Xenopus tropicalis: one gene and its partner. The protein of the gene in region 1 binds, or shares a complex with, the protein of each later gene. Links are inferred from orthologs where the notes say so. Each region holds a gene or a part of one and is shown in the gene's direction. Other genes may lie near its edges. The genes, in order: f7 and f3.

Region 1 (3,930 bases):
TATTCAGTATTAATTTTTGCCCATTCTTCCAGGCAGATTTGCTCCCATTATTTAGATAAGTTGGGTGACGCGTATGCACCTCAATTTTGAAATAGTACCATAGATTCTCAACTGGATTAAAGGAGAAGGAAAGGCTAAGTCACTTGGGGGTGCCAAAATGTTAGGCACCCCAAGTGACTTCAGTCACTTACCTCGTATCCCGGGCTAGTGCCCCTGTTAGGAGAAAACAGCACCAGCCCGGGGTACCTGGAGCGATGCGCTTCCTCCTTCCGGCTTCGTTTTGGAAGGACTTATGACAGGCGCATGCACAGTAGAGTGAAAAGCCGACTTCTCTGTTAAAGTTCAGTTTTTCACTCTACTGCGCATGCGCATGCGCACGGAACCAGAAAGGAGGAAGCGATTGCTGCAGGTACCCCGGGCTGGTGCTGTTCTCTCCCAACAGGGGCACCAGCCCAGGGTAAAAGGTAATTGATTTAAGTCACTTGGGGGTGCCTAACATTTTGGCACCCCCAAGTAACTTTGCCTTTCCTTCTGCTTTAAGGGCTTTGACTGAGCCATTGCAGTGAATTTGCCTTTTAATTCTTGAACTGCTTGTGTTTGGGAATAATGTCCTTCTGAAACGCAACTTTCAGCCAAGCTGTGAAATAGCAGAGTGAAATAGGTTTGTTACAGTGTCTACCTTTATTTTGCCATGCACTCTACTGCCCTGGGAGTGTGGCACAAAAGAAGACATTACTAAAAACAAGCCATGTAAAAGTACATGTGGAGTCTGCCAGAAAGCCTGAGAGTGACCCAATGTTTTGTGTTCAGATGAGACCAAGATAGAGCTTATGGACTTCAGAACGATGTATGTGACACAAATCTAACACTGCCCCCCACACCATACATATACTATAGGGAACTTACATAGTACTGACATAGTACATACAGTACATATACTAAAGGGAACTTACATAGTACTGACATAGTACATACAGTACATATACTATAGGGAACTTACATAGTACTGACATAGTACATACAGTACATATACTAAAGGGAACTTACATAGTACTGACATAGTACATACAGTACATATACTATAGGAAACTTACATAGTACATACATATACTATAGGAAACTTGTTAATGTTAATATTCGTTTCTCCAACAAATAGATATTTCAACAAGAGTACTATTTTATATGTGAAAGATATATATAAAGCCATGAATTCCTCTAATTCCTTTGCATTCTAAAGAACCCTACTGGAGCATGAATAGTACCACCCATGGCTTGCTTCTTTATGTAAACTCTGGCAGATCCTGTGAAGTGAAAATACAGTTCACACCAATGCTCACCAGTGCATAATATTTAAATACATATGCCTTTAAAGATTTTGGATGGTAGGAAGTAGATGAAATCAGGAAGGAAGTGAAGGTAGGTGAGAACTTGTTATGGTGGAAACATTGTGTGAATCAATAAATGTAGATCTATGACTAAACATTCCCAGCAATTCCAATGTTGTTCAGATCTTCCCAGTACAGAGCACTGTCAGGGTCATCCAGTCACCTCCCCCCAGTCCTGGATGTTCAAACAAAGAACTTTGGACACACTATTCTCCCTTGGCGGATTTATAACAGAAAGAGATTTCCTGCAACATGGATCCAGGGCACAAAAAAGCTTTCTGCTTCTGTTTTCTTATGGTCCTTTCATACATTCCAACCTTTGCAGGTATGTATAAAAACCAATAATAATAATAACAGGACTGGCTAAAGATCAGCTCGACACCAAGTGGCACTAATAGGCACAAAAATGTATCATTTTTGCATTATAGACTGCCCTTGGCTTAATTACAAAAATATTTCTTAAAATGTTTCTTTTCTTATTTTCAGTCTGATAATAAATGAGTATATATATATATATATATATATATATTTGACTGACAGTAAGGCAGCTAGCTTTCAGTTAAATACCTGGAAAGTTGTGCCCCTCTAGGTATAAGGCAGCATGTATGCAGGGGTTAGTTGTCTTGAAACAGAAGTGCATGCTAAAGGGAATTGTTGGCCCTTGCGTGGATTTCAAATATTACATTTAACTGCATTTTATTTTCTGCCTTTCTATGATTCCTGATTACTGTCAGGAAAGGGCAGTAGGGACCTAGAACTGACCCTTCCATTAGTTGAAGTTTATGTGTCATTGTGAAGTACTATAGTTCTAATAATGAGCAGAGATTAATTTTTGTCAGACTCTGTCCACTTATTGATGCCTTTACTGTTGTATATTAAGTTGCTGCTGTTAGTCACTGATGCACTAGGCCCTGTCAGTGCCCAGGCCTCTTTTAGTCATTCTTTTTCTTTATACAATATAAGTTTTAATACCTTTTTCTTTATGAATTATCCATAATTTTTGCCTTAGTTTGTGATCTTTCCCTAGGCTGCCTTGTACATGACCCCAACTGCAAATGTTCCTTATTGGCATGAAGAAAGTCAGTACAGTATTCCCTACACTTATCTCCCCTTTTGCTAAGGCATTAAGCATGAATAAGGATTAATCTATAAGGATTAATTATATCTTAGTTGGGATCAAGTAAAGGTACTGTTTTATATTTTTTTAAAAAAAAAATGTATACAAGTATGGGATCCGTTATCCGGAAACCTGTTATCCAGAAAGTTCCGAATTATGGAAATACTGTGTCCCATAGACTCATTATAAACAAATAATTCTTATTTTCAAAAATGATTTCCTTTTTCTCTGTAATTATAAACCAGTACAGGTATCGGACCCCTTATCCGGAAACCCGTTAACCAGAAAGCTCCGAATTACGGAAAGCCCGTCTCCCATAGACTCCATTTTAATCAAATAATTCAGAATTTTAAAACTGATTTCCTTTTTCTCTGTAATAATAAAACAGTACCTTGTACTTGATCCCAACTAAGATATAAATAATCCTTATTGGATGCAAAACAATCCTATTGGGGTTAATTACTGTTTTATTGATTTTTTAGCAGACTTAAGGTATGGAGATCCAAATTACGGAAAGACCCCTTATCCGGAATACCCTTGGTCCCGAGCATTCTGGATAACGGGTCCAATACCTGTACCTTGTACTTGATCCCAACTAAGATATAATTAATCCTTATTGGAAGCAAAACAATCCTACTGGGTTTATTCCATATTTAAATGATTTTTTAGCAGGCTTAAGGTATGAAGATATTTGAGTAATGTCAAGTTCCTCTTTCATATCAAATTGCAGAAGATGCCAGTCTGGCTCAGTTGCAGGATGCTGCTGGTGGATATAGAGAGTCTGCAGATGGTGAGTCGAGATTTTTTTTTTTTTTTTTGAATAAACATATTTTGAGAACCATAATTTCTGCCAAAAACAGTTGCACAGTGTCAGTAGAGCTCATTAAGGTCATTGGGGTCATTTATTAAGAGGGTGTAGATGCAAAACTTTTGCATCAAATTAATAAACCTTCTCTTCATGTCTGTAAATGTAGTATCTAGCATGCTAGTCCAAGGCCTTATGCAATATGTGCAAGTGGTTGGGGTCTATACTGCCATGCTAAATGGATGCCTCCAAGCTCTCCTCTGGTTCTCCCCCATGGGGTAGTCTCTGCAGGAAAGGAAAGCCCTGGAGATATAAGCACAGGGGCTGCATGACAAGGGATCCGAATAACCAGCAGCCAGATTACACTGGTTTATGTTTAGAGATTGGCAGAACCAGGTGCAACTGTGATTAGGTGAGAAGGAAAGAGTTAAGGCAGGAGAAGGCTGGCCTGGGGAGGGGCGGAGAAAGAGAGGGATGTGATGTCAGAAAAGCACTCACTTCCTTATCTTCTGAGCAGGTAGAAACATCCCACCCACCCTCCATCTTTTTGCATATTTTGAGAAATGTCAGGAGTTTTCTCTTCTTTTGGTTTTCATATTATCTATTAATAGCTGAATGTGGAA
Region 2 (3,830 bases), on another chromosome or scaffold:
GGTTTTGTACCTCAGTGATTTTAACCCTTAATATAGGTACACTAAGCTAAGCTCCAGATCTGTAATAGAAAGAAAGATACTTAGGTATTTCGTTATGATTATTTAAGTATATGAGTTGTCACTTACTCATGTATATGTGAATATTATATTAGGCCCAATTCCACCGTAAAGCTATATTTTAGCTCTGTTGCTTTTTTAAATATAATGTCTGCTCATTGTTTTCTTATAGGTTTAGGGATTTCTAAATGAGCATTTTTTCTGACATGGAATAATGGGCATTTTAGGCCAGTGAAGCTTAATTCTGGGTACGCAAATGCTACATGGCTTTATCTTCTAAAATCATCCAACATTAATATTATAAGAAAAAGCAGTTTATTTGGGGATTTAGTGATAAGTGATTATCATCACTTTTCAAAGCAGTCAGAATGTCACGCATGTATTGGAAATGAATGAAGAGATTAAACTAATAATTAATAAAGTCATATATATGACGGGGTAGCTATATTATATAAGTTATGCCACTGTGGGGTTTATATATAAACACTGGGCTGTGACCCATGTCAAGCAATTGGATGTTTTCAATGTTGAATGTGATAGGCGTCAAAGATTGTAAGTTCCTCTGGAGCAGGGACTGATATGAATGATGTATATATGTCTGTAAAGCACTGTGGAAATATGCCAACGCTATATAAATTACAGGAAGTAAATAGGGTAAAAACACTAAACTGAGCTTAATTGTAGTCTGAGGCTGAGCAAACATTTAAGGTCTAACACACATAGGTAGTATTTATCTTTGCATAGCTACATTTTTAGGAGATGGATTATTTGATCTGCAAAAAATAATTATTAAATAAATATTATTCCTTTTGCAGAAACAGGAGACAAGTAATAGCAATGAGATTGTCATTAAAGTGGATCGGGGTGAGAGCTATTGCTTTTATGTACAAGCAACTATACCATCTCGCAGTCAGAACCGCGTCAGTCAAGTATCTGACGAGAAGTGCACTACTGCCAGTGAGAACGGTAGGTGTCTAATCACTAATCCATGCATCTCTCCCTACAATGTAAGCAGTGTGCACTGTTATTAGAAGGATAGATTTGCCAGTGTATAGATAATTCGGCTTTATGTGTATGTACACATATAAAGCCATATAGTTAACTATGTAACTATATACAAAAGGTGAAGTTGAGAAGATGTGCACCAATTCTTTCTTAGTACCCCTCCATTACTCACCTGTGTACTATGGAAACTGCAGTAAGGGTAAACATTGTCTGTAGACACTATTGTTCTGTAGACTTCTGGTGCACTTACAATTTGAGAAACACTAATGTATATATACTGTATGCTTTATTTTACACACTCGCAAACAGACAGTCTGATGTATTGATGGTATCAGTTTGCATCTCGGAGATCTGAATATCTGTCTATTTGAATATGCCTTTGCCTTTCAGCAGCCAGTACTATTGGTTCCCCAAGTGAATTTATATTCCTATGTGTAAGTTGACTCTGGCATGACTGCAGTGCACATATGGGAGAAGGGACCTGCTGCGTATTAGGCTTTTATTCATTCTTTGCAAGCAGCTCCTATGGGTCGATAAGACAACAGCAATACCACATCTAACCTATTGCTGTAAATGCTTTCCTCCTGTCTGGGTTTGCTGGAATAGCAACACATTGCAAAGTGATGGGTTGCCACTTTCTTCTTTTAAATGGTGTTTTCCATCTTTATTAACAAACCAGCTGCATTCTGTATAGATTTGTTGCCCTGTTGTTTGCAAAGGTGGTTGGATTTATTACAGTTAAAAAAAAAAGCTTTATAGGCTCAAATACAATCCTTTTGTAATAATAACGAGATCACATATGACATAATACGTAAAGGCAATAATGCAAGCTGTAGTATAAGAATCGTGACCATATAAAGGTAGGAGGCTGTAGGCTAGTTACCTTTATACTAATCCAACTTTATACAGACTCCAATACCTAATGTTTTGTCTTATTTACAGTAGCAGAAATATTATACATATGTGAGTGCAGGGCAAAATAATTAGCACAAAGGGCAATTTGACAGCTGAAAATGGTGGTGATCAAAACTCCACTGCCCACCTGTCCTGGACACCCTGTGAGCTGCTAGCAATAATGTTTGGAGTTCTCTGACCTATGATCACTTATCTTTATACAACCTTCGGCACTCTAACACCCATAATTAATAAAAGGAACTTTTAAAGAATCTTGCAAATGTAATGCTCAGTGGCATCAATTACCAAATATTAGGCCATGTGACAGTATGTAACAGCTAGAGGAGACATTGCTTACACTAACAGGGAGAAGCCTTGCGTTATTATATGCATTCATAAAATGCATATACTTCTTTATGTTGGTTTCAGCATGCCGGTGAACTTGGATGTTTTGACTGTGTCTAAGCTTTTTCTTTTTTGTGTTTTTCAGAGTTGGATATTACTGTATTGGTTGCTGTGATTATATCAGTGGTACTGATCATTGTGATTGTTATCGCTCTGTCTGTTATGCTGTGCAAACGTAAAAGGGCAAAGCAGGGAAAAGAGTCCAACGACGTCTTATAAGCAGCATTCCCAGCCTGTCTACACTACTAGAACCCTGCAGCTGCCCAGCACACTGCTTGCTGCTCCTGGCAGTGAATTACTCTCCTGTTTCTGTGAAACACACTGGTTCTGGAAAACCTTTATAACTGTTACAGTCAGATTCTGACTAGTTTAGAATGTAATTTTGCAAACTATTGTATGGAATTGTGTATGTATGGGAAACGCTACATTTTGAATTTCAACACTATTTTAGTATGGCTCAGGTTGGGCTTAAATTCTGTGCTAAAGAAACTGGCATAGCCAGAGGTCACTAACTAATAAGGTACAGAAAATAGGTACTTGTTTAAACAGTAGCTGGATACTGAGTCTCAGGTAAAAAGGAGGATTTCTCTTGGAGAAAAATATCAATTTTTGCACTTATATAAATTGTAATGCTGTTATCTTATGCTTGTTCATTAGACAATGTTAGGGTTCAGAATCTTATTTATGGCTACTAAGAGGTCCCCAGTTTCCATGTGACATTGGCTGCCAACAGCTGGATGAACACAAGTCTGGCCACTTTTGTGGGGACCAAATCAAAAGTGTACATTTTCATAATATAATGTCATAGTATAATATCCCATGCCATAGGCATATCCTGTGTTACTGGTACACCAACGTGATGGAGCTTGATTTATGTGATTTGTGCATCACTTTTATTTTGTGGCTTTGCCCCATGTCCTTCAGAATGACTGTATATGGGCAGATATGCCATGCATTATATTGTAGATGCAGGTGGTCTCTTTATAGTATCATGAACACTCAGTGCTGCTCCTTAAAACATGACAACATTCCTTTCCATGGAACTATTACATAGTTTTATCAAAGCACTTATAAAATGAATAGTCTATTTTTATAACTTTATAGTATTTTGCATATATATATATGTTGTTTTGGGATAGAGTTTTTTAGACTACGAATCAAGGGAATTATTTATGTATGTGATTTTATATGGTTGGTTTTATGGGTTATTATTAATATTGATTGTGTATTTGTATATTTTGGAGTAACTTATTTTAATGTGAAGGTCTTTAAATAAAGGTGAATGGGGAAAAAGTACTGAATATTTGTATCATCATTATTATAATAAGTAAACTACACCTATACTTTGGTGACATTCTGTTCTGTCCTGGTTAATTCCAATAGCAAAAAATGTTTCCATCCCCAGTGTTCTGCTAATTAACTGTATTGCTAATTTAGTGGGAATGGGTGGTGCTTTTGCACTAACTCTA

What was found.
Region 2: the proteins of f7 (region 1) and f3 are in contact, whole or in part, in a crystal structure (PDB 6R2W), measured with the Homo sapiens proteins. The link is inferred for Xenopus tropicalis from reciprocal best matches to the Homo sapiens genes F7 and F3. Residues at the interface, in NP_000122.1 of Homo sapiens: Leu73, Lys78, Phe91, Arg96, Leu99, Phe100, Ser103, Ser120, Lys122, Gln124, Leu125, Ile129, Cys130, Phe131, Cys132, Leu133, Pro134, Phe136, Glu137, Gly138, Arg139, Lys145, Gln148, Ile150, Val152, Asn153, Glu154; in NP_001984.1 of Homo sapiens: Thr49, Asn50, Lys52, Ile54, Glu56, Trp77, Lys78, Ser79, Lys80, Phe82, Tyr83, Glu88, Asp90, Asp93, Gly141, Gln142, Thr144, Glu162, Arg163, Thr164, Leu165, Arg167, Phe172, Tyr188, Trp190, Lys191, Ser192, Ser194, Ser195, Gly196.

Annotation. Positions count from the first base shown.
Region 1 is NC_030678.2:116,095,411-116,099,340, reverse strand, and holds the start of f7 (coagulation factor VII precursor), read left to right. Parts: upstream 1-1,566; 5' UTR 1,567-1,637; coding exon 1,638-1,710; intron 1,711-3,232; coding exon 3,233-3,292; intron 3,293-3,930. UniProt on the Homo sapiens protein: Initiates the extrinsic pathway of blood coagulation. Serine protease that circulates in the blood in a zymogen form. Factor VII is converted to factor VIIa by factor Xa, factor XIIa, factor IXa, or thrombin by minor proteolysis.
Region 2 is NC_030680.2:103,458,650-103,462,479, forward strand, and holds the end of f3 (tissue factor), read left to right. Parts: intron 1-872; coding exon 873-1,023; intron 1,024-1,452; coding exon of another isoform or gene 1,453-1,496; intron 1,497-2,446; coding exon 2,447-2,580; 3' UTR 2,581-3,662; downstream 3,663-3,830. UniProt on the Homo sapiens protein: Initiates blood coagulation by forming a complex with circulating factor VII or VIIa. The [TF:VIIa] complex activates factors IX or X by specific limited proteolysis.